Drosophila melanogaster: one gene and its partner. The protein of the gene in region 2 interacts with the protein of the main gene of each other region in a pairwise test. Each region holds a gene or a part of one and is shown on either strand. Other genes may lie near its edges.

The links.
Region 1: the proteins of Cyp4s3 (region 2) and Sesn interact in a two-hybrid assay, tested with the Drosophila melanogaster proteins (one large-scale study listed by BioGRID).

Annotation. Positions count from the first base shown.
Region 1 is NT_033778.4:23,711,879-23,716,972, reverse strand, and holds the start of Sesn (sestrin), read right to left. Parts: upstream 3,074-5,094; 5' UTR 2,855-3,073; intron 2,308-2,854; exon of another isoform or gene 2,293-2,307; 5' UTR 2,074-2,292; intron 1-2,073. UniProt on the Drosophila melanogaster protein: Functions as a negative feedback regulator of mTOR function.
Region 2 is NC_004354.4:15,112,629-15,118,313, forward strand, and holds Cyp4s3 (cytochrome P450 4s3), read right to left. Parts: upstream 3,915-5,685; 5' UTR 3,745-3,914; coding exon 3,594-3,744; intron 3,298-3,593; coding exon 2,844-3,297; intron 2,777-2,843; coding exon 2,070-2,776; intron 1,480-2,069; coding exon 1,304-1,479; 3' UTR 674-1,303; downstream 1-673. UniProt on the Drosophila melanogaster protein: May be involved in the metabolism of insect hormones and in the breakdown of synthetic insecticides.

The DNA of each region.
Region 1 (5,094 bases), on a different chromosome or scaffold from region 2:
TAATTAAGTCTTTACAATTATGGGTAAGTCAGAAAGTTTCCCACTTGGATTATGCTTGCAGTTAGCTGAAGAACATGCGTAAATACCCTTGAATCTGAAGCATGGGAAAACGGCATGGAAAATACTCAGTTTTGTTTGTGACTACTTGTAATAAGTAGGTAAAAGTAGAAGATTGCACAAATTAACGGCAAGCAAGCTTAACAGACTGCAGTTGCAATTGTGTTGCTGCTGCACTTGCTGCAGTTGTAGTGGCTGCTGCAGTTGCTGTTGCGAGTTCAGTCACCTCGTCTTGCGCCCATAGAAATGACTATGATTAAAGCAGCATTCGCGGATACAACAAACAACACAACTTTTAAACTATCCGCATTAAACATGAAATAATGTACTAAACTTTCAATTTACTTATTTGAATCTGTTCAAATAAGTGCTTAAATAAACTTTTATCGAATTACTGGAATCTGCGAAGCGTACAGCTGATCGAATTAATAATGGTAGTGGCCGCAGGTCATTGGAAGGACCATGACTGTTGTTTTTGTCGCAAAAGGACGAATTCGATTGAGTTTACAGACCGATTCAGTTGTTTCTGGCGCTCGAAAGCCGCTTAACTGATTGCAACATTGATGGAAGCACATATCAATTGCCCTCTCAGCCGATGGTTCAAGTGATTTCCCATCACACACTCGTACACCCAATCACTCAACACACATAAACACACACACAAGCACAAGCGGCAATCTTAATGCGCCTGGCAACAACTAAAAGACATCAACAACATCGCGAGCAACAGTTGTGCGAGTGCGAGTGCATGAGTATCTGTATCTGCGTGAGTATCTGTGTGGCGCGCGCCAGTGTGTAGAGTATCTGTGTGCGACGGCTACATAGCAACCGTTTATCATAATTGGCATTAACTGCCAGCCATTCCTCAATTCTTTTCGGCCCGTAGCATTACGTATACGCCGGGATGGCCGATGGCCTGGCATGGCGAAGAGAATTCATTGCCGAGCAGGGGCCTTAATTCGCAGGCTCAGTTCGTTTTCGTTCTTCTTGTTTGTCTGCGAATTACGCCCATGTCGGCGTACTTGATTGTTTCACCGCATGTATTGTACGAGTGTAACAATGGATAGTATCGTGTGTATGGCCGCAAGGACCATGTCATTTGCAGTGCCGAACATTTAACTCGAATGCTGCCCGACAAGCTGCCTAATTAGTGGATGGCCAACTCGAAATAGAACTGGAAAAAGCTGAAGCCGCGAGAAGCGGGTAATGGAAACCGTAAACAAACGCAGCCAGCAAAGTGAACAAATGCCCTCAGCAGTTTACCAAAAACCGCGTGCGAGGCTTCGCCTTCGCAGTGGGGCGGAAAGAGAGGGCGAAACGCTCGGCAAGCGAACACGCCGCCTAATTTAGATTCCCGTGCGGTAGGTCAAGTGCCAATTTCCTCAACTTGAAGTTGTGTGGCAGCAGCAAATCCAATACTGAACGAATTGAATCAGTGTGTCTTCCATTCGATTCTGTTTTCTGTATACGCATCTTGGCCCAGGAACCTGTTGCGCTGACTTGACAGCCCGTCAATCCGCAAAGTCCCTGGCACTGGCCAAAAAATGGGAAAACAGCCGGAATTGGCCAACAACCGCAGGTTTCACATGTGCAATCTGCCAAAGATTTGTGAGGATTTTGTGGGAAGCGATGCTGCAAACCCAATAGCATGAGCTTCTACTCCAGTCGAGAGTTGTGCACTGGGGAAGGGAATGGTTTCTCTATAGATTCAATAGAGAATTCAAATATTCAAAAATAGCCAGTTATTTATGTATGAAGACATTAAGTGGGGCACTGCAGATAAATGCGAGTGGCAACCTATGTTAGGGGAATACCAGCTTAAGGATATATTTTAACCAATTCTAAAGTGCATTTTGTTTCTTGCAGTGCCTTGGGTTTTTTTCCATTACGACAATCCCTAAGGAACATTCCATTTCATCGGAAAAGCCTCTTAGTAACAGTCCTGGCCTCAAAGGACATTTGCAAATGTATTGGGGAAAACTGGAGTACTGTATAGATGGAACCTTTCTTACTTACCCTTTGTTCGCCGGACTAACAGTCTCTACATTTGCTTGATAGCGATGTTTGTAATCTCCTTTAATTTCGGTTCATTTGCCCGAGGGGCACACAGCTACTTTCTTGTGGTGTTTGTCTTTACAATCGCAGATAGAGCGCTTCTTTCGCTCGCGTTTTTGATAACACAGAACATATATGATGTAGTAACTAATTGCTGGAAATCGGCGAAGGGCTCCGAAACTTAAGACACGAAAACTGTGGATAAAATGTATTGTTTTGATCAGAGGAAACGAAGAAAGTTGGTACTCGATTTTCGTCCGTTTTCGTTTATAATTTAATTTACGCGCTCACTAATTATGTAATGCCCTCTCCCCTAATACCCCGAAAAAACCGAAGAACCGATTGCATTTGGCGCGAAAATAGACAACGGCAAGCGCAGAGATAACAATAATAGTTTATATTTAAATTTGAACAACAACGGCGGTCAGCATCGTTTAATTTGTTTACGCGGCTCGAGCTCGTTATTATTCGACTATGAGGCCAATCTAATTTATGCTCCGCCGCCTTGTTGTTGTCTCAGTTTTGGGTTTGATTTGGTTTGGTTTGCTTTAGTGCCACTCTGACTGGGCTGCTTTGCAGGAGATTTCTGTAGTAATTTTCCATGCAATAACAATGATTTTCGCTTTTTTATTTTTCTCTATTTTTCTTATTTTTTTAATTTTTGGCGCTATCTACATTTCTTGTTTTGCGCCGCCTGCAGTTGCGTTTGAGCGCGTATCCCCCCGAGGGAAATGGAAATTACCAGAAGTAACAGAAGCAACAGAAGAAACGGAGGCGAGAACGAACCAAAGGGGAATAAAAATAAAAACGGTTATCCGATGTTTTCGGAGCTTCCTGATTTCCCGCGATCTTGCGCTGAGAGTGGGAGCAGATATCGGGCGTCTGTAGCGCGTCTGGATTTCCCGGTCTTCCGCTTTTCTAGCCGGACAACTGAACGCGGCCAGCGACAAACTTCAACTGAAGCAGCTCGACTCGAATCGAATCGCGGCGAAACGAAATGAAACGAATCGCAACGAAACGATACGAAACGAAACAGCTGGTATCGCAGCCCCAAAGCCCCACAGTGCAACAACAACAGCTGACGGGGGCGGAGAGCCGAAGAGAGTGCGCCACACTGCGCGAAAAGTCAAGCACTTAAATCACCAACTAATGCAATGCTAGTTATATGGCCTTTAACAGCGATTTCGTAGCTTAAAAGGATCTGCATGCAAGAAACTTATTTTCATTGTATCTAATTATACCTTTGCGTTTAATAATTTAAAGGAGAACTTCTTTAGATTTCAATTATTTGTTTTCTGTGTAAGCTTATTACGAGCAACGAGCGAGAGAGCAAGTGTGTGGGACAGAAAGAGCAGGCAAAGCAGCAACAGGCAGAGGCAGAAGCAGTCTGACCATTTTCCTGAGGGGCTGGGGGTGGGGAGAGTTGCTCTGTAGGCGCAGGAGAGACGGTCGCTATGACTCTTTGTTGCACCTACTTTGTTGCCGTTGCCAAGGGTGAGAGCTAAGCTGCATGCCGAATACGCTACACAAAACAAGATATAGAGACTGTCATATCCGAATTGTTGCTTTTTATAGTTTCTATAATCTATTTATTGAAACTTGTTACAAAAGCGTGCTAACGCACGAAAAGTAGGAGACATATTCCTTCTCAACCTTCTACTTTCTTCTGTAGCGTAGGGTACCCAACTAAACCAATACACCCCGTACAAATGTACAGTTCTTTTCTTCGCCCTGCCTCTCTGCTCCTCCAATTCTTTTTAGTTCAACATATGTGAGGAGCACATGGAGCGACAGCAACACAAACAGCAGCAGCAATAACAATAATAGCAACAATAGCAACAATAACAACAATAACAACAATGACAACGCAGCGACGACGCTCCAAATGATTGAACTTAAATGGCAGAGGCCTAGAAAGCAGGGTGTGCGTGTGTGCGTCGCAGTGTTTGTGGATGCAAATGTGTGCCCGGTTATCAACACTTTTTAGTCGCTAGCCCTCCTATCTCCAACCTACTCCCCCTTTGCCACGCCCCTTTCCCCCTCCCACATTCTATCACCATGCTAGGGCCCAACAAAATAGTCAGCATTTGCGGGCGTTCAAAGCTCAAAGCAAAAGCAAAGAGGCCACAGTCAGCCCTCTGTGTCGTGATCCAATATCTCTGTCCACAATAATCAGCACAAGAGGCGATAGTTTCGAACTCAAATGGGATTAATCCTCACTGGAATACAGCTCAAAACTGTTCGAAACTGCCAGCATGTAGGGATGTAGAGTCACTAAACTGAAAGCTTCTAGCAAGATATCAAATGGTTTTCAACAAAGCATGCTTTGCAAGCAAAAATGGCACTAGCAACTTTACGAACTTAGGTATTAACTACACTTTCACACAGTAGAACCTCCACTGTACCTGAAGCTCGGCAGAAAGACTTCGCAGAGCCATGGAACCCGCCTTGTTTACCCTACAGAGACTTTTTCCGGCTCGAGAGCCTCTGAACTGCCCCGCCTCCGTTTCTTCCGCCCATAGAGCGAGTATCATACGAACTGCAATAAGTGGCGGCGATAAATAAAGTACCCGTCCCCATTTTCATTTTATAGCCAGATCGTGAGACAATAAAATGCAAAGGCAATGAGTGCGCTGCTGGCAAGAGAAATTAATAAGCACTCGAGTGCAAAGTACTGCTCGCCGCTCGCCACTATCACTATCATAGGCCGAATGCTGTTGATTTGCATTACAGCGGCGGAGTGGGGGAAGTCGCTTATCAGCAATGGGAGCCACAGCAGCAGCGGGCTGATAGTGATAACAGCGCCGATACCGAAATACACACGTTGTGTCGGTGTGCGTGGCGTAGATTATTGTTATTATTGATTAATAAACAATTGTCTCACTCGCACAGAAAGTAGCTGAGGCTGTACGTATGTTGGTTTGTCTACACACATGGGTACATCTGTCGACTAAGGCGACGCGACCGATAAGGAGTGACCGA
Region 2 (5,685 bases):
AAAGTTCTTCTTAGAGAAGTAGACATATGCTTAAAGACAAAACAATCAACTCTATGAATATATATATTTAAACATAGTGGTGAACAAATTATGTTACAAAATTGCAAAGTTTTGCTGTCTGTAAATACACGAAGTATCAATATGGATCTTAAACTTAAGCGTGCGCATAAACGTGGTATTGTCCTTGGTCTCTAGAGCCAAAGTTACAGTATTCTCCAATCTTCCTCTTCCGCACGGATCGCGAAAGCCCCGCGATCCATCAGTTATGCTATATACATATATATATATATATATATGTACCGTAATCGATTATACTTTAGCCAAATCATATCATTAGCCGCCTCTCACTAATCCCATAGACAAATTGTTTCCTGCTAAGCTTTAAGGCAGAAAGCGCCAAACAAAAACAAAAACTCGCTTACGACTACCTAAAACATAGATAATGACAAATATATATATACATACATACATACATATATATACACTCAGATCGGGACTTGACTTCACTGTGGGGCCCTTTGAGAGGGCACAACAAACGAAACACAAACGGAAATTGAAGGCAATCTAGTTAGGGATATAGTATACTATACCAACTAAATTCAAACTAACAAACAAAATATTAAAATATTATGTGAATATCTACCAGACAACTACGATCATACATAAAGTAAATATATATATATATAAATATATATTTATGGTAAAGGAATTTAACTAGTTCGTACAGAAAATATTAAGAGATTGTATGACAGCAAGAAGTGGTCCTAAGTTCAGATCTATTGGGATCGGTAGTTTAAGGAATTGTCAGGGAACACGAGCACGGACGACGGAGAGTTTTGGATTAACGGGGACTCTGGAGAGCAATAAGTATGTGTATGTGTATGTAGTTTGTAAAAGGAGATCGGCGTACATCCAAAATACACACATACACACACATATATATATATATATATCTGAAAATATATATAAAAAATATAACTATTTTTTTGTTAGCTGGCTCTGGATGTTAACCACAAATAAAGCCCAGCACCCATATATATATATATATACATACCTCTTTAGCCGTGTATATATGTATATGATCGATTGTATTTTTCAAAGTTCAAAGCGAGAAATAAAAAAAAATAAAAACAATATGGCAATGTTGTAAGTGATAAGAAATGGGCCCCCAGCTGGGCCTTTCAAACTGCGTCACTACGCTGGAAATGTTGTTCATTGTTCACTATATCGTTAGCTTAACCTAATCTAGACATGATGGTGCCCTAAAAAAAAAAAAACTAGAAATCATATTGAGATAATGGCTTTATGCTGTCGTTCCGTTCTCATCCCGTGGCAAGATCCGAAGTCGAATGCCATTTCCACTTTTAGTCACCAATTCGGCCAACGGCTTTGGCTGATGATCCTTGTCGGGCAGGAAGCGATAGCTTCTCAGGAGCATCGCTAGCGACGTCTTCAACTCCAACATGGCAAACTTTTGACCTGAAAGCAAACAAACAAGTTAAACTAGAGTCATATGAACAAACAACTAAGTAAGTAATAAAATCCCCATAAAGCCTTTGCTGACGTCATTTAGTTTTTGGGCGCTTCTTTAAAATAATCTTTAGCTGCATTGTGTTTTCATAAATGTTCAGCTCATGTTTATGAACTTTAGTCTGTGAGTGATGTGCATTGTGAAATAATCTTGGCATTATCAACAATTAATTTATAAATATATTTTCAGTTCTCTAATAATAAATGAACCTATTTTAAAGTGTGTGATCTTCTTGTGAACAAGGCAACCGAAAGCTTTTCGTTCTTATCAATTGTTTAAATTAAGAAATTTTTTTTTGGAAAGCAATTCGAATGACCTTCGGTCCTTATATATTACAAATATGAAATCGCAATTTCTAATAAGTATTTTCGGGTTCTGTGACCTCAAGGATGTGATTTTATCTGCTGATTGTTATATTTCGGTTATACTCTTTAAAGTTTTAAGAAGATCGCAGGTTAATTTGGATTCAATTTCAATTTTAAAACAAACTTTTTAAGTTAGATAATAGATAACTGGGTAAGTGCCTAGATGATCTTACCTATGCAATTTCTGGGTCCCGCACTGAAAGCGGCGAAGGCAAACGGATGCATTTGCTTCTCGTTGACCAGGAAGCGATCGGGATCGAATCGCTCCGGATCGGGGAAGTTCTTGGGATCACGATGGAGCATGTAGATGAGGCAGCTTATCGAGGCGCCCTTGGGCACCGTCAATTTGCCCACCTCCAGATCCTCGAGAACTTTCCTCGAGAAGAACGGCACCGAGGGGTAGATGCGCAGCGTCTCCTTGATCACCGCCTCCAGATACGGCATCGATTCCTTCTCCCTGCCCTCCAGTTCGCTGGCCTCCTCGAAGGCGCGCTGCTGTACATCCGGATTTTTAGACAGCAAACTCAGTGCAAAAGCGATGGCCGAACTGGTGGTGTCGTGACCCTCGAACATGAAGGTGTCCACTTCTTCGCGAATATCGGTATCGCTCAGCTCCGCACCGCCCTCCATTTGGGTGAGCAGCAGCATGTCGAGGAAGGCCAGTCGCCGCTTGGCGCCCACATCGTCCTGCTCCGCTTCTGGTTTCCATTCGTTGCGCTCCTGGATGAGCTGCTCACGACGCAGCCGGATCACCCGATTGGTCTCGTCGTGGAGCACCTTTAGAGCTGCCTCCCGTTCCTTTCCGGGCTTTGTGTGCTTAAAGAACACGTTGAGTCGCTGCCAGAAGGAGAAGCTCTGCTTGTGCATCACACGGCAAATACTGTGGTTGGGAGTTAAATAAAAAATATGATTTTTAATGAAATCATGTAACAGTTTTTAATACTTACGATTGAACAGCCTGCACATATTCGGAGTCGCTCTGCAGCTGGGCGTGCTTCTTGATGCCCATGGCCGTTTCGCAGATGGCGTCCAGGGCGAATAGGGTAATATAAGGATAGATGTCGAAGGATTCGCCATTGGCCTTGGTCCTCAGACGACGCACCAGGATGCGGCAATTCTCCTCCATTGGCTCCTTGAACTCGCTAAGGATGCGGAAATGGAAGCCCGGAGTGAGGAGCTTTCGGCGACGATGCCAGGACTCGCCGCCATTCGTGAGCAGACCCTTGCCCAGCCAGGGCTCGAGCAGCTCGTAGTTTCGCGACTTGGTCAGCAACTGATTGTTGCCGAGCAGCTGCTTAATGTCCTCCGGATCCGTGAACATAACCATCAGATCCTTGCCAAACCAGATGCGGAATACCGGACCATGCTTCTCCCTCAGTTCCTTTAGCCAGTTAAGGATCTCTGGGTAACGAAAAAAGGTAAGTGACTTTAGTTATTAGTTATTAAATGAAAACTGAAATGAGCAGCAGTTAAAAAAGTCATTAATTTAACTTCTAATTGTTGTTAGCTAAATCATAAAGCACACATAATATTACGAAAGATACGATTACAAAAAGATAGCACGACCTTATAAGTTATGCCAATTGCATGCGAGTAGAATTATACCAGCGAGGGCAACGCTGCGTATGCGTGATAAAATGTAGAACCATTTCATGGGTATTAAATTCACTTAATCAATTCTCTTTGCACAAACTCACCGCCTTTCTTAACATTGGCAATCAGTTCGCCAATCGTGGGACCCGGCAGAGTTTTCGCAAATCTCTGAAGTCTCAGAAAATTCAGAATCTTGGGTAGGTAGCGTAGAAAAGCTGCCCAAAGGACGAAAGCCACCAGTGCCAATGTGCTCATTTCGCCACCGATTTTAGTCCACTACTGGCTCAACGACCCCAAAAAAACGATGGCTATATAAATCAAGTGAAAGCTTGGTAAAATGTGATGAGCTCGCGATATTGGACGACTTGCTGGCGAACTTAAAGTTTGTGCGAACTGCTCGACGTCGCGGCTCGTTTACAACTAATTCGCACTCGGAACGCAGCTGTCTGATTTGTGCGGTGTATGTGGTATATGGTCTGAGCTCTGGGTCTCAACAGATAGCAGATCGCCAAGGTGGGGCACTCTGGATGCCCTCCGATTGGCGATAGGCGGATAGGCGGCCACCAGGTTTATGAGAACGGAATTATGAATCGAACGGATCGTGATTCCGAAAATATGTAGCATCACTTGGGCCTGTAGCATTTATAGATTAATAGTTTATAATTATTCCTACTATCTTAATTGAACCGGTATTAATTTAGTTTTCTTCGAATACCATTTTGCAAGTTCTCTTTTCTTCTCTTTTAGGCATTCTTTTTCTTTTCTCAGATCAGACCACTTTTTGACCTACAAACAGCTACAAAATATTGCGTAGGCAATCTGATTAATTGTTCAAAGTACGCCCAAAACCACTTTGGTCATAAACAAAAACTTACGTGCTCGAAACTATATGATGACATATTAAGCGGGGAATTTTAGAGTGAAAAAAAGGTACATTTTAAATATGTGCTAAAATGATAAATATTACTGTTTACTATTAAGTTTACGTTGGTATACGAGTATGTAGCCTAAACCCTTCAAATGCATATTTCAATTTAATAAAAAGTATTCAAAGGTATGCATACGATCGAACAGGTGTAGCGAACCGCTCGCCAAATTGAGGATCCTATGGCGGTGGACGACGGAACGTGTCAGGGGCTATCATTGCATCAGTGCAGTGTCAGACCCAAAAACGAGTTCTATTACAGCGAATCATCGTACGAACGGCAGATATGTGATAGGCGTTGACCCACTTAGAACATGTGGATTTCTTTTAAGTAGTTATAGTAAAACTGCTCTTAAGAACTGGTTCTTTTTCTTCACGATAAAGAAATCTTATCATTTTGTCTTAAGGTGGAAAACAACTTAATCATTAGGAGTAGTAATGTTAGTGAGAGCAAAGTTCATGGTTAGGTAAACTGAAATTGGTTTGTGTACCAAAATATAAAAGAATATAATTATATAACTATATCTTCCTTTTTTCCGGCATATCTTATCTTGTGAAACTTTACAATCAGGTAATATTGCAACTATAAAACTGAAAGTTCACAAGGTTTTTTTTATTGCCTTAGTAACTTAAGCTAACTAAGACCACACACCTGGCAATCCAAGCTAATCAATGTAATTAACTGAATTTGATAGTTTAACCTAGGGGCTGACTGATTACTGGCTGATCAATTAATCTGTTTATATTATTATTTCAATAAGTTGCATTGTTCTTATCACAACTATTTCCTAGTTTTTTTTTTTTACATAAAGCTTATCATTCGCGGATGGCATTTGTTTAGATTTATGTTATGTGCACTTGAGCAAAAATGGTTGATAAGTTATTACTTTATTTATAATAATTAAGAAAAATATATTGGTATTCATTAGTTTAATGTGCATGTTAAGCTTGCTAAATTTGCATTCCCTAAAAGCTTTTTGGATTTTTTAGATTATTTTGAATACTTTTAGGCTGTGACAGTGAGCATAGCTAAGTAAATCTAAGCTTTTTCTAATACAAAAAAATAAGTGTATTTAAAATGTACTAGAATTGTAATATAATTGTAAGTAATATTTACCTTTAGGCCAAAAGCTACATATGCTTTTATTTGTATTTCTTAGTGTTAATGAAAACACATTAAAATTTAGTAAATAATACAGTAAGAGTGATAAGATTTATAAAAGCTGTTGGCTTATATTTTAAATTCGAACCTTTAGCTTGGGCATGTTTTT